3 linked regions of the Stegostoma tigrinum genome follow. The protein of the gene in region 2 interacts with the protein of the main gene of each other region in a biochemical or structural test. Links are inferred from orthologs where the notes say so. Each region holds a gene or a part of one and is shown on either strand. Other genes may lie near its edges. The genes, in order: wnk1b, serine/threonine-protein kinase OSR1-like and wnk4a.

The links.
Region 1: of the proteins of serine/threonine-protein kinase OSR1-like (region 2) and wnk1b, one has a biochemical effect on the other in vitro, tested with the Homo sapiens proteins (2 studies listed by BioGRID and IntAct, with this or other methods). The link is inferred for Stegostoma tigrinum from reciprocal best matches to the Homo sapiens genes OXSR1 and WNK1.
Region 3: the proteins of serine/threonine-protein kinase OSR1-like (region 2) and wnk4a are reported together in a solved structure, tested with the Homo sapiens proteins (2 studies listed by BioGRID and IntAct, with this or other methods). The link is inferred for Stegostoma tigrinum from reciprocal best matches to the Homo sapiens genes OXSR1 and WNK4.

Annotation. Positions count from the first base shown.
Region 1 is NC_081371.1:20,510,105-20,518,121, reverse strand, and holds the start of wnk1b (serine/threonine-protein kinase WNK1), read right to left. Parts: upstream 3,086-8,017; 5' UTR 2,012-3,085; coding exon 1,205-2,011; intron 1-1,204. UniProt on the Homo sapiens protein: Serine/threonine-protein kinase component of the WNK1-SPAK/OSR1 kinase cascade, which acts as a key regulator of blood pressure and regulatory volume increase by promoting ion influx.
Region 2 is NC_081358.1:99,195,797-99,203,442, forward strand, and holds the start of serine/threonine-protein kinase OSR1-like, read right to left. Parts: upstream 3,071-7,646; 5' UTR 2,806-3,070; coding exon 2,736-2,805; intron 1-2,735. UniProt on the Homo sapiens protein: Effector serine/threonine-protein kinase component of the WNK-SPAK/OSR1 kinase cascade, which is involved in various processes, such as ion transport, response to hypertonic stress and blood pressure.
Region 3 is NC_081384.1:15,197,971-15,205,708, forward strand, and holds the start of wnk4a (serine/threonine-protein kinase WNK4), read left to right. Parts: upstream 1-4,676; 5' UTR 4,677-5,177; coding exon 5,178-5,798; intron 5,799-7,738. UniProt on the Homo sapiens protein: Serine/threonine-protein kinase component of the WNK4-SPAK/OSR1 kinase cascade, which acts as a key regulator of ion transport in the distal nephron and blood pressure.

The sequences.
Region 1 (8,017 bases), on a different chromosome or scaffold from region 2:
ATAATCCACAATCACACCTCTGCAGTACTGCCAGCTTGCTGCAACTTGGGAGGTATTGTCTTTTAAACAAAGCATCAAATGGAAACTTTCTGGTACAAGATGGTAGTAAAACATCACGTCACTACTTGCATTTGAAAATGAGATCTCTCTCCACTGTTCTGGAAAATACTTTTCCTTCAATGTCACTGAAACAAGTTATCTGGCCTTTACGTTGTCACATTTCTTTAACTACACAAAAAGGAACCTCTTTGCCACTTCTCACCATATACATGTATAAAATAAAATAACCTAAAAATATAAATATATACACAACAGAATCTATGGCATGGATTGTCAAATCAACGGTGCATAATTGAAACTAACATAATCAAGCGTCCAATGAAGGGCTAGGTACATGCATTTTGAACTCTACTCAAATTCAGTTAAAAGAACACAAACTTAAGCTACACTAATAGGAAAGTTCTCAGCCAAACATCCAGTCATCCTATACTGATTTCAAACAGGGTGACAGAAGGGTCTAGGCCCGAAGCGTCGGCTTTTGTGCTCCTGGGATGCTGCTTGGCCTGCTGTGTTCATCCAGCCTCACATTTTATTGTCTTGGAATCGCCAGCATCTGCAGTTCCCATTATCTCTGACAGAAATACACCAGTCTTAACACCTCATACCATGCCAACCCGCTGTGAGAGAATGAGGATGAGGAGGAGAGAGAGGGAGGTAAAACACAATTTTCAATTCAAAATATAGTCCAGCAAGCTCTATTCAAAATCATTCTTGTGGAAATATCAAATTTATTCAGCATTCATGGTCAAAGGTATCAATGTTCAAGACCATATCAAACCTGAACAAGAAGTTGTCAAAATGAAGAAAAATCACAGCAGGTTTTAATGGGACACAAGTTGTTAGTACCCTGGGAATGAATCCCTTAATAATACTAAAAAAAAGCTTTCAGATTCTAAATTATGCTTCTAATTGGCAAGTGTCAATGAATTATATTGCCACCTTTAATTTTAAGGTCTGCACACCACTTCTTTCAGAATCACAGCAATGATACAGGGCAGAAGGTGGCCATTCAGCTCATATCAAACTATCCTTTGGTAGTTAAATTTCTTTGAAAATACAAATACTAATGCAACAAGGATTTAAATGAAGTGGCTAGTCTTCCCAATGAAGACAAACGTGCCGACAACAAAAATACACAACTTACCTGCAATTCACACCAAGCTACTTCCACTGTAGTTTCTGTGTCTAGACCTTTATAGACGGTTTTGAAAGAACCTCTCCCAATTTCTATATCGAACTTCAAAAACCTCCCATCGGGGGAGGTTGCCACAGCCTTAGTCTCTATTTCTTCATTATCTTCTTGCGCCTTCCTCTCCTGATTTTTTGCCTCTTCCGCTTCTTTGCTCTCTGAACTATCATCATCGTTAGCTTTCAACTCGGTTTCCTCTTTAATTGGAACTGATTTTTGTTTTTTTCTGTCTTTGCTGCTACTGGTTGTAGTCCCTGCATGGTTGCAAACATCGGCATCGAGCGAACGAACAGCAGTTCTCGGTCGTTCATCGCCAATTCCAGCAACTGTGCTTCCATCCTTCGTATTGCCATCAACGCACTTTTCACATTTTTCTCCGGCAAAAACAGGAATTGCCGCAGTGACCGAGTCAACTGTCGTAGCTTGTACAGGAGGTTGCGCTTCGTTATTAATAGTAATACTGCTTATTAATGAAGCTGCATTATCCGATTCGGGTGGCGAAACGATAATACATGTCTTACTGGGCAGATGGTCCAACGCTGTAACGTTGGAATCACAGATCACACTTCTCCTGATAAAACGTTGGTGCTCTGCTTTGCTGTCCTTATCCATAGTATGTCGCCGCCTCCTAAGAGCCTTAAACTCTTCTTTTTTTCTCAAACTTACTCCAAAACGCTCCCCTATTGTCGTATCTGAACTCGAATTGGTACCATTTTTAGGGGGGCGCAACAAAGACCCAACATTGTCTGCGTTTTCCGACATTTCCACAAAAACTCAATTCCCAAAAGACTTCCCCAGAAGAATTCAGTGGTTTCTCTTCAAACAAGATTTCAACGCGAAGCACACTGCCGGTCAAATGGTTGAAATGCAATAAAAAGTACCAATTACGCGTAAAGACAAATGCAACCTGATTTTCTTTGAGAAGTCAAAATAATTCCCTGTTATGTTTGCGCAAACAGTCGGGTCCCTGGAACTGAAGCGTTCCGATATAAAAAATGAGATACGCAATATTGTCCAACTCAATCAGTTGCAACGCAGCGACATAAACATGGATCATCTGTTGTGATCCATCCATCCTTAATTAAAAATTTCGAACAATTTTCATCCAGTCTTCATTTCTCAAAAGGGCGATAAAGAAATTTAAAATGAAAATGAAAATCCAACCGATATAAACAAAGCCAAAACAGTTCCTTATTCCCGGATTAACTCCAAAAATAATATACTTTAAAACGGCCAGAACAAAAAAAGGGACAATCAACGCAACAATCCCTTTCAGCGATGCTGCTAGTTTCTGTTCCCTCACTAGAACAATTCCACGGTTATGGAAATGCGTCGGTTTATTTTAAGCACAGATAATATACAACGCCACGACTGCCCCGTCGATGCCATAAGGTTCTGCTCTTTCAAGCTTTCAAAATGGATGCGATGCCCATGGTTTTAAAGAAAAGTCACCAAAATTTAAATAGCCGACAGACGTGCAGGCTGCCAGATGGACTAGGCCGGGATGCTGCAACAATAGAAAACCCCAGGGTAAGGTCGATCTGCCGGGGGAGAGGCTCACTGCAGAGCTGTCCACATACGTAACATCCCGGCTTCTTCTCTTCCTCTTGTACTGGAATCGACTTTTCAAATAAAAAATACGCCCAGCCGGTTTCCTTAACGAACAAGTATCGTAGACCCAAGCCCGGGCCCCCCACACAGAACGGGGGAGGGGGGCAAAGAAGGTAAAACAGGCGAATCTCTCAGCTCGAAAATAGACACGTTCTTCCTCCCAACTGTAAATGGCGGATACACTGCCTCTAACTCACTTACTGGCACTTTCCGAGAAGCTGAGTGCTCGAGCTCAAGGCAACCCATTCACATGCGCAACACCACCGCACAGCCAATTGGGAAACGTAGTTTTTCCATTACAATTAGCAGTGTTGGCACATAGTTCGATTTGAAACACGCAAAAACGGAACTACAGTTCCCATCATGCTACGAGAACATTTCAGTTGGTTGGCGTTTATTTATTCCGCCCACTTTGCGTCTCTGTGGGAGCGTTGAGCTGAGCACGTGATATGGACAATAGGAGGACGGAAAAGGATGAGCTGTGGGTACCAGGGGAGGGGGCGAGGCTGGTTTTGGAAGCTTTGGTTATTGAAGGCGGAAAAGATTATATTTATTAAAATAGGCAATGATCTTCTCCAACTGCACATTCCTTCTGAAATGCACAGGTTTTAAATTCAATAAATCGTACATCGTTGCATGGTGGCGTGATAGATTCTCTCCTGGATGGTGATTCTCCAAATGAAATATAAGTGAAATAAAACCTTCGTAAGTAATTCCAGAACAAACATACATCTGAATTAACATACAGCGCACTGAGAGGGTTCAGAATCTAGAATGAGAAGCTGATTAAAAGCATTCTGGGTGCGTAAAATTCATCAAAATTAATTTCTGTTTCAATTTCTGTTTATTCAGGACCTGCTCGGCCTCGTTAAAACTACCGCACTGGATATTGCACCATCATAGTGAACAAAGTAAAATACATAGTTAAATCCTTCTGAAAACCTAATTTGCTCGTTCATTTTCGTTCGACTACGCTGCTTTCTTCGGTTAGCTTTAACTTTCAGCAGCAGAAATACACGACGATGGACGAGCTCTTGAATGCAAGCACGATGTTTGCAATGTAATTGTACGTGAAGACATTGCAGTAAGATCAAGAGAATTTTTTTTAAAAATCGACTAATTTGCTTTAATTGTAAACCTTCTAGTTAAGAGGATATATGAATGGCCTTTTACCAGGCCAATATTTTATAAGGAGAAATTGAAAATATGAGCAGGAGTAGGCTATTTGGCTTGAAGCCTACTCTACCATTCAATATGATCATGGCTGATCATCCAACTCAGCACCTTGTTCCTGCTTTCTCCCCATACCATTTTACCCCATTAACCCTAAGAACTATATTTTACTCCTTGAAAACGTTGCATGTGTTGGCCACAGCCACTTCTTGTGACATAGAATTCCACAGGTTCACTGCTGTCTGGGTGAGGAACTTTCTCCTCTTCTCAGTCCTAAATGACCAACCGTGTATATTTAGGCAGTGACCACTTGTTCTGGACTCTCCAGACATTGGAAATATTATTTTCTTTTATTCACTCGTGGGATGTGGGTCTTGCTGGCTGGCCAGCATTTATTGCCTATCTGAGTTGCCTTTGAGAATGTGATGGTGAGCTGCCACCTTGAACCACAGCTGTCCATGTGATATGGGATGGCCCATAATAGCCTTAGGGAGGGGCTACAAGGATTTTGAACCAGCAACATCAAAGGAACGACAATACATTTCCGATTCAGTGGTGAGTGGCTTGGAGGGGAAACTTGTAGGTGATGGTGTTGCTTTGTATCTGGTGCTCTTATCCTTCCAAATGAAGGTGGTTGTGGGTTTGGAAGATGCTGTCTAAGGATCTTTGATCAATTTCTGGAGTGCATCTTGTAGACAGTACCCACTGCTGCTACTGAATTTAAGTTGTGGAGGGAGCAGATGCTAGTGGATGTGATGCCAATCAAATGGGCTGCTTTGGCCTGAATGGTGTCAAGCTTTTTGAGTGTTGTTGGAACTGCACCTATCAGGCAAGTGGGGAATATTCCATCACACTCATTTCTTAAACCTTGTAGATGGTAGATAGGATTTAGGGAGTCATGAGCTGAATTATTCCCCGCACCTATAGCCCCTAACCTCTTGTGTTTATGTAATGAGCCCGGTTCTGTTTCCAATCAGTGGTTACCCCAAGGATGTTGATAAGGAGAAAGCGATTTGGTGATGGTAACACCATTGAATGTCAAGGGGTAGTTGTTTGATTATCTCTTATTGGAGAAAATCACTGTCTGGCATTTTCAAGGTGCAAATGTTACTTGCCATTTGTCAGCCCAAGTCTGGATATTGTCCAGATCTTGTTACATTTGTGCACGGACTGCTCCTGTATCTGAGGAGTCATAAATGGTGTTGAATATTGTGCAGTCATCTGTAAACATTCACGTTTCTGATCTCATGATGCAGGGAATGACATTGATGAAGCAGCCGAAGATGGTTGGGCCTAGTCTGAGAAATTCATGCAGAAATGGCCTGCAGATGGGATGACTGATCTCCAGCATCAACAGTCATCTTCCTGTGTGCGAAATGTGACTCCACCCAGCGGAGAGTTTGCCCTGTGATACCTATTGATCCCAGTTTTGCTAGGGCTCCTTAATGCCACAGTCATTCAAATGCAGCATACTTCTCAAGGGCTGTCACTCTCACCTCCACTCTGAAATTCAGTTCTTTGTCCGTATTTGAATGAAGGCTGTAATGAGGTCAGGATCTGAGTGGCCCTGGCAAAACCTAAACCAGGCATCACTGAGCAAGTTATTGCTGAACAGTGCTGCTTGATAGTTGGTGACACCTTCCATCTCCTTAATGATGATTGCGAATAGACAGACAGATTGGTAGTTGGCCAGTTTTTTTGTATAAGGCGTTATTGGACAATTTTCCACATTGTTAACTAGATGCCAGTGCAACTGTACTGAACCACTTGGCAAGGGGAGCAGTAAGTTGAGGAGCACAGGTCTTCAGTACTGTTGCTGGAATGTTGTCAGAGCCTTTGACTTCGCAATTTCCAATGCATACGACTGTTCCTTGATGTCGCAAGGAGTGAATTGACTTGACTGAAGGCTGATATCTACGATGTTGGGGGACAATTGAAAGAGGCTGAGACGGTTTATCCGCTCAGTACTTCTGGCTGAAGATTGCAGCGAATGCTTCAGCTTATCCTTTGCACTGTTTACTATGTCAAATCCTATTTGAATTTCATAGATTTAAATGAGATCTCCCTCCCCATCATTCTTCTAATCTCCAGTGAATATTGTCCTAACTGATCCATTCTCTGTTCATACTATCAGTCCTGCCATGCCAGGAATCAGTCTGGTGAACATTTGTTGTGCTGCCTCCGTAGCCAGAACATTCTTCCTCAGTTAAGAAAACCAAAACTGCACACCTACTTCTCAAGGTATAGTTTGCCAGTGTTCCATACAATTGCAGCAAGACATTCACGCTCCTGTTTTTAAACCCGCTTGTTGCAAAGGCTGACATACAAGTTGCCTTCTTTGACACCTGCTGCAGCTGCATGCTTACTTTAAGCAACTGGTGTACAGGTACACACAGGTTTTGATGCACCTTCCCCCTTTTTAAATATATTACCGTTTAGATAATAAACTGTCCTTTTTTTTGGTACCAAAGTGCAACCTCACATTTATCCACACAGTACTTCATCTACTTGCTCAATTTACCCAAATCGCGCTGATGCATTTCAGCATCCTTCTCATAGTTCAACACCTCTTACGGTTAGTTGCCTCATCTAAATATTTAATGTATATTGTAAATAGGTGGAGCCCAAGCACTGATCCCTGTGGTACCCCACTCGTCACCACCTGCAACTCAGAAAAGGTTTATTCCTATTCTTTGTTTCCTGTCTGTCAGCCAGTTCTCTATCCATGTCAATGCATTAGCCTCAATCCCACATGCTTTAATTTTACATGCTAATCTCTTATGGGGAACCTTATCGAAAACATTTTGAAAATCCAAGTAAACCACATCTACTGAATCCAACTTTATCAACTATACTAGTTACATCTTCAAAAAATATGAGTAGATATGATTTATCAAGCATGATTTCCCTTTCATAAATCTCAGCTAACTTTGTCTGATTCTGATACAATTTTCCAAGTTTTTTACCATTAAATTTTTTCCAGCATTATCTCTACTATTGATGTCAGGCTCACTGATCTATAATTCGCTACTTTATTCTTAGAAACCGTTCCAGACTAGAGCCAATAGAATCTTGAAAGGTGACCACCAATGCATCCATTATTTCTCGGACCACTTCCTTGAGTATTGTAGGATGTAGGTTATCAGCCACTGGGGATTTATTGGCCTTTAATCCTATCAATTTCCCCAAAACCATTTCCCTACCAAACCTAAGACAACAAAGTGTGGAGCTGGATGAACACAGCAGGCCTAGCAGCATTTTAGGAGCACAAAAGCTGACATTTCGGGCCTAGACCCTTCTTGAAGAGTCTAGGCCCGAAATGTCAGCTTTTTGTACTCCTAAGATGCTGCTTGGCTTGCTGTGTTCATCCAGCTCCACACTTTGTTATCTCGGATTCTCCAGCATCTGAAGTTCCCATTATCCCTACCAAAACTGATTTCTTTCAATTCATTCATCTCTCAATACCTTGTGATCCCCAACATTTTTGGAACACAATTTGTGTCATCCTTTGAAGCAAAACCAAAATATGTACTTAGATAACAAGGTGTAGAGTTGGATGAACACAGCAGGCCAAAACATCAGTTTTTCTGCTCCTCTGATGCTGTTTGGCCTGCTGTGTTCATGCAGGTACACCTTGTTATCTGATTCTCCAGCATCAGCAGTTCCTACTATCCCAAACTGTGTACTTACTTGGTCTGCCATGTCTTTATTCCCCATTATAACTTTCCCTGTTTCTAACTCTAAGGGACCTACATCTGTCTTCATGAAATACTTTCTCTTCACATATCAATAAAAGGTTTTACAAATAATTTGTATATTCCTTGCAAACTTACTCTTATACTCTATATTCCCCATCTTAATTAATCCCTTTGTCCTTCTTTGCTGAAATCTAACCTGCTCCTGATACTCAGGTCTGTTACTTTTTTGGCCAGTCTGTATGCCCCATCCTTAGATCTATCACTATTTTTAATTTTCCGTGTTAAT
Region 2 (7,646 bases):
TGCTGTGGAAATTCAAAAATATATAAATAAATATGCAATTTCCCCCAAACTTAAAATACCACCAATGAATTTGGTGAAGACATTTCACCTATAAGATTCTCTACCTCCTAATATCAATAAGTCTGTGCAGGTAACCAGTCTCAAAATGTCTGCCAATTAACCACCTCAGTATTAAGAGTTTGAAAGGAAGGCACTTCCCTTGACTTTACCTTCATGTGCAAGATATGCAACTTTCCAAACTTCCTTGATAGATTGAAATGAAACGAAAAGTGCACCTTCAATTACTTACAGTAGTCATTTTTTTAAAAAAGCCAACGTAAGAGATAAACACACAAACTGAAAATACGAGTAGCCACCATTGGGCTCTTCTGGGATTCATGCAATATGACTATAGCTGACCATCCAACTCAATAGCCCAATCTCACTTTCTCTGTACCCTTTAATCCCTTTCACCCTAAGAAGTGTACCAATCTCCTCAGAAACATTTGATGTTTTGACCTCAAGAGATAATGGGAACTGCAGATGCTGGAGAATCCAAGATAACAAAATGTGGAGCTGGATGAACACAGCAGGCCAAGCAGCATCTCAGGAGCAGATGTTTTGACCTCAACCACTTTGTGGCAAAGAATTCCACAGGCTGAATACTAACTGGGTGAAGTAATTTCTCATCTCAGTCATAAGGTCTACTTCAAATCCTCTGTGAACGTGACCTCTGGCTCTGGACTTCCTGCTCATCAGGAATCTCATCCCTGCATTCAGACTGCCTAGTCCGGTTAGAATTTTATAGCTTTCCAAGAGATCACTACTTATTCTTCTTAACTCCAGTGAATACAGTCCTAGCCAATCCAATTTCTCTTCATACATCAATCCTCCCATCCCAGCGATCAGTCTAGTCGGCCTTCACTGCACACCCAGCCCCGATAGCCAGGATATCCTTCCTTAGGAGAGGAGACCACATTTCTCCAGGTATGGTCTCACCAAGTCACTGTATAACAGCAGAAGCCATCACTGATTTTGACACGCTAACCAAATGACAGAAACCAGTAGTGGCAGAGCTCAAGATCACCAAACTCTTTCCTCACACACCCTCTTCTCACAACAATCAGATGAAATGGAAGCTTAAAGTGGAGAGAGATTAAAAAAAATCAGTAGAAAAAGCCCTCTGATCCACTTCAACATTCTAAAGTTATGAATAACTCAGTTGTATGGAAAAATCATGCTTCTACAATTCACTTTAATTCTAATAGCGTCTGTGTACAAAATGATCTTTACGAATACTAAGTTTGGTAGTGGGAGCATCATCTTAGAAGCTGCAAGTTTCACACACTATCCTGCCCCATTTTTATAAAAATGATAAAATGCATACAATAAGTATTATACATCCTGCATCTAGAGTTCACTTCTATTTTTCCCCACCTTGGTAATGGCACTTCTCAAAATTAAAAGACACAAGCTATATACAAGTTGTTTACAATTGAGGTACTTATGTTACTGCTTAACAGCATGAAAATTATTGGAAGGCCAGAAACAAAGTATAATACTGCAATTTATCTCCTCAGTATTCAACCCACCCTCTTCCCCATGCCTTTCCTCAGCTCAATCCATACTACCAGCAGTAGCCCAACAAGAAGTGAACTCAGTCCAAACAATAATCCAAGCAGCAATGTGCCTGTTTCCAGAGATTGAGTCTCTTTCCAAGATGCAAAATTCAAGATCAACAAGGTACCAAACATGACCCCCACTTCCGTCAGGGCACCTGCATTCCTCCTGACACTTTCAAAACATCACTGGGGAAATCATGGACGAGTTACACGAGGATAACCATTGTTCACTGCCTCTAGTTAATAACTATTGCATAGTACAGTATTATAGTAATTTTAGCTGGCTTTGAATTTTAAAAACTTTCTTGTTGGAACTGAAAAGATAGATAGACTTCCCTCTATTGGTATTAATTTTGAAACAAAAATTAGCGACGAATTTAACACTGCATTTCGAACATTAAAAAATGGGGCTACGCTGGATCGTTCGCATGCTCCAGTGAAGCTAGCTTCATGAAAACATCACAAACAATATAAAAATCCACACATCTGTCAAACTAATTACTCCATGCTATCATACCAAGTATAGATCCTCTTTTTACAAAATGGCCTATTCATTAACTTGCAGGCATTTGTTTAAGGGTTAGTCAGCTGATTTAATAACGTGGCATTGAGTGTATCGTTAAAGACGATTTATAGATTTTTAAACACACTGCATTTCGTTCTTCCTATGGGCAAGGTTCCCGATTGATTCGTGGCAGGTCTATTTTATTGAGTATGAACAGAGAATTCAGTATAAAAACTATAACATAGAAAAGTCGGCCTATTCCTTTGGACATAGCCCCCACCATACTGTACTAGTCTATTTGATAGACGAATAAATTATTAAACAAAAAAAACTAGATGCAGTAGGCCTCTCCCTCAAGTGCAGTCAGCTGTTTCTTCATTTAGTCTTTTTCAAAAACAAAAATTGAAGTGCAGCAAAAGAAAACGCTAAAAAAATACAAACTGAAACAAAAAAACTGCAAATATACAACAGCTTCAAGGCTTTTATTATTGCTGCAGGATGACCAGAGGCCTATTCCGAGTGGCTGCAACTACACCCATTGCATGCACATCCTGTCTGCTAAAGTATATCCTTTTCAACCTTGCGAAAAACAAAAATGAACAAAGAAAGCTGCGTTTCCAACAACTTACCAATCACCTCTTTGAGTTCATAATCCTCCCTGATGATGGACCAGGGCAAGGAGCTGGGATCCTCGGACATTGCGAACGAAGCTGCAGCCTCCGCGCTTCCTACTTCACTCTATTTTAGGTTGTTCTATTATGCTGGGTCTTTATTTCGCTTACTGAAACAAAGTTATACTTCTCCTAACTGAAGAGAAAACTACTGGCCTACACTGCAGAATCAAATCACTCTCCTCTCCTACCTTCTCGACTACTCTCGGTCTTTCGCACAGACACAAAATACTTCCAATCCGCAAACTTTGCCACCAGCTGGAGTTACCATGCCTCCCAACCGCCACCCTTCCCAGCTCTCATTCGACATCCTCGATACCCGCCCCTCCCGTTGCCTAGAATCTATTGGCCAAGTACGCTGTCCATCAATGGTGACGGTAACGGCGCGACGCACTGCCGTCCCCAGCGGTGATGGGAGGGGATCCAAGACTGGTAAAGGCGGGGGGTTGACTCTGAGACTCCAGCCGTTCGCCTTGTGCGCGTGACGGCGTCAGCACGTCGAGACGTAAGTGAATAATATGATTGACGTTACCCCCCCCTTTTTCTGTTACGTTGGGCCCCATCGGTTGGCCAGAGGGTCGCACATTGCAGCAATCGGCAATGTCAAAGGAGACAGTAGGAATTGCAGATGCTGGAGAATTTAAGATAACAAGGTGTAGAGCTGGATGAACACAGCAGGCCAAGCTGACGTTTCGGGCCTAGACCCTTTAAGGGTCAGCTTTCCTGCTCGTCGGCTGCTGCTTGGCCTGCTGTGTTCATCCAGCTCGACACCGTGTTATCTCAGCAATGTTGATGCTGGTCTGTCAGCATCTGTAAGTAGAACAGGTCGGTGCACTTCCCTTGGTTCTCGTTACTCGATTCTGTTTACTAACCTTAACTCGCACCCCCCTTCACATATACAAGTCTCTGTCTTTCTATAATTCGCTGTTTTGTGTTTATAAGAGTTTTCAGTTTAAATTCCACATTTCCATTTCTGGCACTTCCGACTTTTTATTATAGCAGTGGGTTAATTTGATTTATGCCAAGACCTTTTGCTCTTGTACAGTCGAAACTCTAAACTAATAATCTTCGAATATAATTTTAAAATATACTGATCAGTTACTACTTGTACTTTTAAAAATATTTAGCCTGACCAGTATTCCAGCAACATTGCCCAGAGGAGATGTAATCTTTCTGAATAAATAGGTAAGACAGCATTAATTCAAAAATAGTTTGTATTTATGTTACCTTTTACACACCTGGTCATGAAGAAGCTGCTTTCCCTAGGCTCCAACACATCCAAAGGAACTCTCATCAGTGTAATCCTGTTTGGTCTCTGATCTTCTCCACAACCCACTTCAAACTCTCATTCAAAATTCTTACTCTGGAATTTTTTGAGGTGTTTGCTGCAAAGAACAAGGTCTACATAGACTTCCACAGGGCTTTTTGTGAAGTCCAACAGGAACAGTTCGTTAGCAAAAATCAGTGTGCCTTATCAATATGGATTGGTAATTAGTTGGAAGGCTGGAGACAAAAAGTAAAGGTGGCTATTTGATTTCTTTGGTTGAAAGAAATGACAAGTATCATTTCACATGAGTTTATCCTACAGGCCTGAACATGTTAACAATTTTATCAATGTTTTGAATTAATGTATTGTAAATCCAAATTTACAGATGGCTCAGTAGATTGTATGTGTAAAAGTGGAATTTACAACGAGATGCTGACCACATGAGTGGGTTGACCTATTGTAGATGCAATGAAGTTAAGGGAAACACGTGATACATGCTTCAGATCTATCAAAAAATAATCAAGTTGTGTTTTTAATGATAAAAGACTAGACAGTGTGGAGAAGCAGTGTGATTTAAATGATTCACATTTAAATCACACTGCTTCTCCACATCACAAACAAGTGAAAAAACAAAATACTGTGGAAGCTGGAATTTTTAAATAAAAACAGTTTTCAGTATAAACAAAGCTGACCTTTACTTCAAGTGAGCAACAGTACAAGGAGGAGAAAGAGACTTCGGTTGTACAAAACCTTGACCTGCTGCCCATCTAGAGTGCAACATTTAGTTCTTAGTGTTGTACTTAAGGAAGGTGTATAGTCTGTACTCACAAGAAAAAGTTACATGTGGGTAAGTTACATAAATCTAACCAGCACGGTCCTGACTAAAATCTTAGTGTTCACCTTTGGTAACTTGAATCTATCCAAAGTTCTACTGCCTGAATCTTAACTTGCTCCGGGTCCAGTTGGTCTGTTACTCTACTGATTTACATTGGTGTCCAAGCAGATATACATCAAATTCAAATTTCTTAATCATATTCAAATCCAAATCCGTCTGTACCCTGGATAATAAAGTGTGAAGCTGGATGAACACAGCAGGCCAAGCAGCACCTCAGGACCACAAAAGCTGACGTTTAGGCCCAAAACGTCAGCTTTTGTGCTCCTGAGGTGCTGCTTATCCTGTTGTGTTCATCCAGCTTCACACTTTATTATCTTGGATTCTCCAGCATCTGCAGTTCCCATTCCCTCTGTGCCCTGATCCCTTTGTGTCCTTGCAATTTTTCTGGCCACAGTCTCTTCCTCAAATTTTGGCTTCATTTTACATTCACTGATTTTCCCATTGGCAGCTATTTAATCAGCTGTAGGTGCTAATCTCTGGAATTCTCCTCCTAAATCTCTGTACTTTTCACACTGTCTCCTTTGTTAAAACATTGCTCAGTACCTACATCTGGCCAAGATTCTAGTCAACCCCCTCTTGAATCTCCTTATTTGGTTCAATTACAGATCTTGCTCAATACCCTGTACAATATAAGCATTAATTTCCTGTAATTAGTAAAATTTTACTTCTGCCACAAGCTATTCCTGAATAGTGTCACAGACTGCATTTGGCTGTTTGTAAAACCTCTGTATCATATTTTATCATGACATGAGCTTCTATCCATTCATCTGCTTCATCCCGACTGCCAACTTTTACCGTCAATACACCATGTGGCTCTCATTCTGCTTCTGCCTCAGCTAACCTGCTGATAACCTCCGCGATGTTATAATCCCAGCTAATGTCAAAACTGGACAAGTCAGATCCTGGAGAGAAATCTAGGTATACACCACTTTTTTTTTTCATTTACCATGGAAGTCAATCACTCAACAAGTTCACGAGAGGTTACCAATGTATTTTTAACAAAAGAAATAAAAGCTTATTGCTCAGAAGAAGAACCTCATCCCATCCCCTTGACAGTTTGTCCTCCCTGGACTGACCTATCTCCTCTCTAAATCCCCACCTACACTCACCTTTACTGGCTCCATCCCCGCATCTTTGAGCTGTCTGTCTCCTCTCCACCAATCTTCTCTATCCATCCTCTATCCGCCTCCTCCCCTCTCCCTATCTATTTCAGAACCCCCTTCCCCTCCCCATTTTTGAAGAAGGGTTTAGGCCCGAAACATCAGCCTTCCTGCTCCTCTGATGCTGCTTGGCCTGCTGTGTTCATCCAGCTGTACACTTGTTATCTACAGTATTGCAGGTATCGTCTTGCTAAGGCCCTGCAAAACTGCACTAAGGTATCCCTACTTCTGAACTCCAAACCTTTGCTGTGAAGGTCAATGTACTATTTGCCTTTCTAATTACTTGCTGTACCTGTCAGTCTGTTTTGATTAACTAGAGTACCAGAATACCTAGACCCCTTTGTACATCTCCACTTCCCAAAGATTGAAATAATTTCTTTCCTTTCTGTTTTTCCACTGAAGTGTGTTAAGTTCCCATTTAGCAATGTTGTATTGAATCTGTCCACTCAGTTGACCTATCCAAATAACCTCAGTTAACATGCCCAAAAGTCTCCTCTCAGCATATAGTCCTGCCCTTTGAGGGTATGGGGGGGCATGTGGAGAGGGGGATGTGGGAGGGCAGGGCTGGGGATGGAGGAGGTTGTGAGTGGAGGAGGGGTGGATGGGGTTGGGAAGATAGTGTTTGGGGTGGGGTGGAGCGTGGAGTTGTGGGGTGAGGGAGATTGGGTCAGATGAGGAGGGAGGGAGGGGTGGGTAGGAGCTGGGGAGGCGGGTAGTGTTGAGGAAGCAGGAGGGCAGCAGAAAATTTGGACAAGCTAGAAGAGTGGGCAAAGTAGAAGCAGTTGGAATACATTGTGGGAAAATGTGAGGTTATCCACTTTGGTAGGAAGAATAGAAGCAAATACTATTTTCTAAATGGGGTAAGGCTTTGGAAATTTGAAACGCAAAGGCACTTGGGATCTGTCGTTCAAGATTCTCTTAATATTTATATGCAGGCTCATTTGGCAGTGAGGATGGCAAATGTAATGTTGGCATTCATTTCAAGACGGCGAGAGTACAAGAGCAGTGATGTACGACTGAAGCTTTATAAGGCTGTGGTCAGGTTGTGAGCCCTGTATCTAAGAAAGCATGAGCTGTTGATGGAGGGGGTCCAGAGGAGTTTTACAGGAATTATCCCAGGGTGAAGATGGCAGGTTTCAGGCGAGAGGAGAAAGCTATATAAAGAACCTAAGGGGCAACTGTTTCGTGCGGAGGGCGATACATGTGTGGAACGAGCTGCCAGAGGAAGTGGTGGAGGTTGATAAAATTATAACATTTAAGAGGCATCTGGATACCTATATGAATAGGAGGGGTTTAGAGGAATATGGGTCAAATGCTGGCAAATGGGACTGGTTTAATTTAGAATATCAGGTCAACAAAGGACGAGTTGAACCAAAGGATGTGTTTCTGTGCTGTATAACTCTAGAAAAGGTTTGTCACATGAGGAGCGGTTGGATTTTAGAAGGATGTGAGGGGATCTGGCTAAACCTTACAGAATACTGAGAGACTTCGATAGTGGACGTGGACAAACCCGAGTAGGAAAGGCTAGGAAACGAGGGCACAACTTC
Region 3 (7,738 bases), on a different chromosome or scaffold from region 2:
TCCCTGGAACTATTCTTGAAAATCTACATGCTCTCAAAACCTTAATAAACTTCCTAAAAACTAAGTGATCGGAAATTAATGCAATAATCCAGTTGTGGTCAAATCTCAATTTAGAAAGCGAAGGAACTGCGGATGCTGCTAATCAAAAACAGAAGTTACTGGAAAAGCTTGACAGGGCTGGCAGCATCTGTGAAGAAAAATCAGAGTTAACATTTCGGGTCCGGTCTGACCCTTCCTCAGAATTGACGTATAATCTTCACTTTTCCATTCCTCCAAGTTTAATACAGTTGAAAAATTTTGAAATTTTTCTTTATATTCTAATATTCAAGTCAAAAAGGGTGTCAGTTGGCTAAACGGATGGTTTATATATAGAGTGACACTAACAGCATGGGTCCATATCCTGTGCTGACATCACCATGCAGGTCTTAGCTTCTCAACCTCTCCACTTACCTGAGGCATAGTTATTCCCCGGGTAAACCACCATCAGTCATGTCTCTCTTCAATCTAATAAGGGAGTGGTCCGCTGGGACTATTGTGACTTTATAGATCAAAAACAGGGTGGTCTTAACACTGACTCTCGATAAACATTATTATCTACCATCCTCTAGGATGATAAACATCAGTTTGCCGTGACTTATTTATGCTGTCCTTAAGCCAAATGCTTAACCAAACTGATACTGGTTCTCTTAACCAATGAAGTTTTATGGGGTACTTTGTAAAAAGCTTTCTTAAAATCCATGTGGACAACATTTTTGTAACGTTGCATTCAATTCTGGTCTCCCACCTATAGGAAAGATGTTGTGAAACTTGAAAGGATTCAGAAAAGATTTACAAGGATGTTGCCGGGATTGGAGGGCTTGAGCTATAGGGAGAGACTGAATTGGCTGGGGCTATTTTCCCTGGAATGTTGAAGGCTGAGGGGTGACCTTATAGCAGTTTATAAAATCATGAGCTGCATGGATAGGGTGAACAGCCAAGGTCTTTTCCCCAGGGTAGGGGAGGCCTAAACTAGAGAGCATAGGTTGAAGGTGAGAGGGGTAGGACTTAAAAGGGACCTAAAGCTAACTTTTTCCTGCAGAGGGTGGTGCGTGTATGGAATGAGCTGCCAGAGGAAGTGGTGGAAGCTGGTACAATTACAACATTTAAAAGGCATCTGGATGGGTACATGGATAGGAAGGGTTGAGAGGGACATGGAACAAATGCTGGCAAATGGGACTAGATTAATTTAGGATATCTAGTCAGTATGGACAGTTTGGACGAAAGGTTCTGTTTCAAGCTGTACATCTCTATGAACCTACGACTCTATAACGTCCACAGCAATCTCACTAACAAATATTTCTCTACTTCATCAAAAAAGTCAATTAGATTAGTCAAGTACAATATGCTATTCATAAATCAGTGCTGACTGTCTTTGGTTAACTTTAACTTCTTCAAGTGCCAATTCAATTTTCCTTTAGATTATTGTTTTTAAAATCATACTCACAAGTGATTTAAACTGACTCGTCACTGGGAATGTTCTTACACACTTTACACAAAGGCTATCACATTTGCGACACTAATCTTCTGGCACATCTGGGTAAGTTTGGAAAATTATGACGAGCCTGTTCACTATCACCATTCTTGCTTTCTTTAGCAATCTGGGATGTCAGCCATCCAAACTGAGTGACATATTTTCTACCAACATAGTCAGTCTTTCCAGTGCATCCTGGCCATTCATTGTCTATTGGTATTCTTTAAGAATCCTTTGTAAATAGCAATAGAAAATATTCATCAATAACCTCAATTTTCCTTGTCACTCTAAGCAAACTCCGCAATCTTTATCCCTAACAGACCAACATAATTTCTTACTCAAAAATAGACTTTGCTGGAAAAGTTCAGCAGGTCTGGCAGCATCTGTGGACAGAAATCAGAGTTAGCCTTTTAGGTCCAGTGACCTTCCTGTTTATTTTATGATGGTGGAGATAGAATCCAAAGACAGAGAACAATAGGTGGACAAACAGCAGGCTGGAAGAACACAGCAAGCCAGACAGCAATGGGAGGAAAGGAGCAGTTAATGTTTTGGATATCACCCTTCTTCAGGACTGGAGTCTTGAAGAAGGATAATATCTGAAACATTGACTGTTCCTTTTTTCCAGATGCTGCCTGACCTGCTGTGTTCTTCCAGCCTCCTGCCTGTAATCTGCAGTTTCTTCGTCTCTAAGAGAGAAGAACAGTTGGACAGAGAAAGGAGTAGAGATGATCGGTCTAGGAGAAAGAATAATTACTAATGAGAACAATTAGCGTCGAACAATGGTTGCATGTCATAGCAGACCATGTGATAACAAGGCTGGTGTGTAGCAGTAGGAGTAAGGACATGGGAGAACGTGCCTCATACATTAAAGTTGTTGAACTCAATATTGAGTTCAGAAGGCCATAGCGTTCCCAAACAGAAAGTGAAGTGCTGTTCTTCCGGCTTGCACTGAGCTTCGCTGGAGCGCTGCAATAAGCCTGAGACAGAGATGTTGGCCAGGGAACTAGATAGTATGTTGAAGTGACAGGCAACTGGAAGCTGAGGGTGTTTTTGCAGACAGAACATAGGTGTTCTGTGAAGCAGCCACTCAGTCTACGCTTCATTCCCCCAATGTAGAGGAGACCTCTTCATTTTATTAGTTATTACTATTCACATGCCAGAAGATGATTTTTGGGTTCTCTTTAATGTTGACTGCCATTGTATTCTCAAGTGTATCTGAAGTGAAGCAGATTTGCTGCTGTCCTGAACAATATTCTTCTCTCAAATGCCACTACCAAAACCAGACAAACTATCAACTCCACTTACCGTCTGAAATTAATTATGATTAACTAATTACTGCCTGGCAGTAACGATAGTGACTGCATTTCAAAGTTAATCATTAACTTTTGAGCTTATTGGTTGATCCTGACGATTTGTTGAGGTGATATTCACGCATGAATCTTTTATCTTAAAGCTGGTTCAGTCATAAGTTATAATTCTGTAAAGTTGAAATCAGGGTGACTAGTTTATAGTAAAAACTGAAAGAACTGTGAATGCTGTAAATCAGGAACAAAGACAAAGTTGCTGGAAAAGCCCAGTAGATCTGGCAGCATCACTGAAGGAAACAAACAGAATTAACACTTCAGTTCGGGGACCCTTCCTCAGAACATTAGTTTACAGTGTTTGAATAAGTCAGAATTTTAGTTTGATTGCCAGTTTTAAGTTTCATTGTTCTTCCCAATTTTATCCACTTTTCCATGCATTTGGAAAACCAATGGTCTCCAATACTATCTTCATGACTTATACACTATATGACATGGAAGAACAAGTACATTCTCCCAGTTTAAAACTATTTGCACAAATCCATTGAGATAACAAGGTGTAGAGCTGGATGAACACAGCAGGCCAAGCAGCATCGGAGGAGCAGCAAAGTTGATGTTTCGGGCCTAGATCCTTCAGTCTAGGCCCGAAACATCAGCTTTCTTGCTCCTCTGATGTTGCTTGGCCTGCTGTATTCATCCAGCTTTACACCTTGTTATCTCAGATTCTCCAGCATCTGCAGTTCCTATTATCTCTGCACAAATCCTTTAATCATTAGTGTCTGCTTATACTTTTTGTGTCCAATAGATGTAGGCACCAACCCTCTCAATTGTTGGGTAATAGGAGTCCATACAACAGAAGAGCCCCCAACACCCTGCTCCATTAGATTCTAATCACCTTCCGCTATCAACAAGGGGCTCTTGCGGTGCACAGTGTCCCAACCTCTGGGCCAGGAGGTCTGTTTTTTTCTGCTCCAGAGGTCTGTAATCACATCACTTTGTAGGTTAGTCATAAAACTTGCTCTGCTATAAACATTCCCACTTAGACTGGAAAACAGTGTTTATTGAGATCCACTATGTTCTGGATGTGAGTTTGCTCGCTGAGCTGGAAGGTTAGTTTCCAGCTCAGCGAGCAAACTCACATCCAGAAACTCATCCTGAGTTACAAATCTTCTCGAAACTCACTATCCACTATCTTATTCAGTTTAAGTCACTAATGGTGCAGTGGTGGTGTGTGTACCTCTGAGCCAGGGGCCCAGGTTAGAGTTCTCTCCTGCTCTGAAGAAGGGTGAAGGCCCAAAACTTCAGCCTTCCTGCTCCTCGGATGCTCCTTGGCCTGCTGTGTTCATCCAGCTCTACACCTTGTTATCTCAGATTCTCCAGCATCTGCAGTTCCTACTATCTCGGTGTCATAACAGGTTGGTTGAAATATCAAAGCCTGCTCCATGGAGCTCACAATAAAGACCATCTGGATCATGCTCTATCAGTGATAAGCAGCCTGATCTTACTTCCAGTAACGTCATACCGTCATCCGCCATCCAACAGCAACCCCCCCAACCTCAAGGGAAGAATATGTACACTTCAAACCGCACCCCCCCGATCTGTGTTGTGAGTTGATAGCAGCTCTGCTTCTCATGCTGGAGCCTCTGGCCCGGCTGGAGGACGTGACTGGAACTGAGTGAATGTTGCGCCCGATAAAGGAGAACTTTGTCCATTCAGATCCTGCTGCTTCACACAGTGCCTCTTTCTGGCCGAGTGCCTTTTGAAAAAAAATTCTGAGCGCGCCCAGCTTTAAAGGACGCTTTTCACTCCCTCCGCACTTTGTGTACTGATCTTTCAGCACGTGTGAAAACAGTAGGAATTTAAAGGGATGGTTCAGAGAGAGAGAGAGAGAGAGAAAGAAAGTAAAATTACCTTTCGTTTCCCCCCTGCAATTTGGAGAACCAAGTAAATAAACACTGAACATTACCCCCACCCCGGTTTCAACACGCCCCCATCCAAATTAGCGACAGTCTGCCCTGAGCCAATGGGCGGTGCGGGGACGGTCTGAGAGCAATATCAGGCGTTAGCGGAATTACTGCTGTCTCTAAGCACTTGTCAATTCAAAGTAGAGCCCCTTTTCATTTCCCTCTCTAAGTTACTTTCTATTGCTGATGGGGGGGGAGTGTCTAACAGACTGAAAGGGGCAGGCAAACGAAAGAATAAAAGTAGTGAGGAGGCAAATGTTTTCCGAGGAGCGGCTGGTGCAACATGAAACACGATGATGTTTGTGGTTGAATGTTGTGCTTTTCTTGAGACCGTGTCAGCGAGTCTTTCCTCAAGGGCTTTCCCTTGGGGTTCGAGCGAAGTTTGTTGGAGGTGGTTGAAGCATGTCCAGGACGATGTCCCAGGCGGAGGTGGACCTGGCTAGATTCGGGCTCATTACCTCGACCCTGGATCTGGATTTGGATCGTTCCTCCCACCTCAGTAAAGCGCAGAGCCGGCGGCGGAGAATGCCTGCCAGAGACGGCAGGAGGATCCCGTCCCGGTACCAGAGGAAACTCTCCGTCGACGTCGAGCTGGGAGCTGACGGTCTGCTTGTCCGTCGCCCTTCCCGAACCCTGGTGCCAGTCCCGGATAGCCAGCCCCCGCCGCCCGCTGAGAACGGGCCGCTAAAGGCGGGCGGACCCACTGCCGGCGCCCCGCCGGCTCGCCTGGCGCCCTCGCCGCTCCAAGCTGCTGCTGCTGCTGCTGCGGCGGCGGTGGTCGCGAACAGCTCGGACACGGAGGATGGCAGCCGCCGCTTTCCTCACAAGGACTCGGTTTCCGAGCTGCCCGAGGAGAGTAAGATGGAACCGGAGGAGAACGAGGTGGAGATGAAAGCGGTCGACACCTCCCCCGACGGCAGGTTCCTCAAGTTCAACATCGAGCTGGGAAGAGGTTCCTTCAAGACGGTCTACAAGGGGCTGGATACCGAGACCACGGTGGAGGTCGCCTGGTGCGAGTTACAGGTAAAACGATGCAGAGTCCGCCGGGCCCGTCACATCCCAGGCTGTAAGACCCAGGGATATTGTGTCACTCAGGAAAGCTTAAATACTGTTCAAGAAACTTCCACAACTTGTAAAGTGTTTTTTTTTGTCAAAGCATAGTCACCGCAACAACGTAGGGAACGCTGCAGCCAGTTCCTCACAGCAAGCCCCAAGCAGCAGCAATGTTGGCTTTTTCTGTGATTCGAAGTGTAAATATTGGCCAGATTTTCAGGGGCGTTATCCATTTACTGCAGAGGTTTCAAGTCTCATTCAAAGCCTACGGTCACACTAGTCTGAAAATGCCTGATTTTGGAAGCTGTGGCGTGATTAGTACTTGGATGGGAGACTGCATGGGAATATCAGGTGCAATAGGCTTTTGGGGTGGCACAGTGGCTCAGTGGTTAGCACTGCAGCTTCACAGCACCAGCGACCCGGGTTTGATTCCACACTCGGATAACTGTCTGCATGGAGTTTGCACATTCTCCCGGTGTCTACGTGGGTTTCCTCCGGGTGCTCTGGTTTCCTCCCACAGTTCAAAGATGTGCAGGCTAGGTGGATCGGCCATGCTAAATTGCCCATAGTGTTCAGGGATGTGTGGGTTATAGGGGGATGGGTCTGGATGGGATGCTCTGAGTGTCAGTGTGGATTTGTTGGGCTGAACAGCCTGTTTCCAAACTGTAGGGATTTTATGATAAAAGGCTGCAGATGCTGTAAATCAGGAACAAAATCAGAAAATGCTGGAGAAACTCCGCAGCTGCTGAGCTTTACAGCAGTTTCTGTTTTGTACCCTCCACGTTGTGTTGAAGAATCAGCTTTTTAAATTCCAATTATATGGGCTTGAACCCACAAACCACCTGACTCCAAGGTAAATGACCTCAACTGATCCAGACCCAATATCTCATGCCTGACTGTCTTGCAGGAGGATGTCTAATGTTAATTTTCTCTGTGGTTGGTTGCAGCAACTTATTTTTATGCTCTGCTCTGCTATCTCAGCCTAGGCCTTTGTCCTAGGACAGATTTTAAAAGTATATCATGAAGTCAGGAATGCAGTTATTCATGAGTTTGTCAAAAAAAACTGATGTGACAATACAGTACCTGTAACATTGCTCCTCTCTCAGCAATTAAAATATAAAATTTAGAGACATCAGCCGCTTTCATACACACAATTCATCAAGGTAGCTGCTGAAGGGATTGAAAGGTGCTCGTAGTTTCAAGGGACATTGCATCCATCTTGCATCAGCATTTCTAAACTTACATTGATATAACACTGAAGTTAGATCCTGACAAACCAGGGAATTTGTGCAGTATCTCTAAAAATTGCATAATAAATGTACCCTCGGACTGAATCAATGAGTGTAAAGACAAGATAGGCTTAGTCTAAGCTTAACACTGACTTACTTGTTGGTACAAGTATTATAAATTAAGCTTACTTGTCAGTTGGAGGGGCATTTATTGTACAGTGTGTCTGCTGGCTTAGCTGTGTAATCTGGTACATTACACACTTGAGGATTAGGGCATTCTGTTATTAGTTGACATGGGTGGAACATTGGTTAAGAAAGATATTTCCCCAGTTCACTCTGTTTTGTCAATTGCCACCATTGGCATAAGCTTTTATTCTTGTGGTGTGTGGATCTGCTTGTGGTATACTTTGTATTTGTCCTAAAGAACAAAGAACAAAGAAAATTGCAGCACAGGACCAGGCTCTTTGGCCCTCCAAGCCTGCGCTGATCCAGATCCTCTAACTAAACCTGTCTCCTATTTTCTAAGGATCTGTATCCCTCTGCTCCCTGCCCATTTGTGTGCCCACCTCTACCACCTCCGCTGGCAATGTGTTCCAGGCACCCACCACCTTCTGCGTAAAGAACTTTCCACATATATCTCCCTTAAACTTTTCCCATCTCCCCTTGAAATAGTGACCCCTG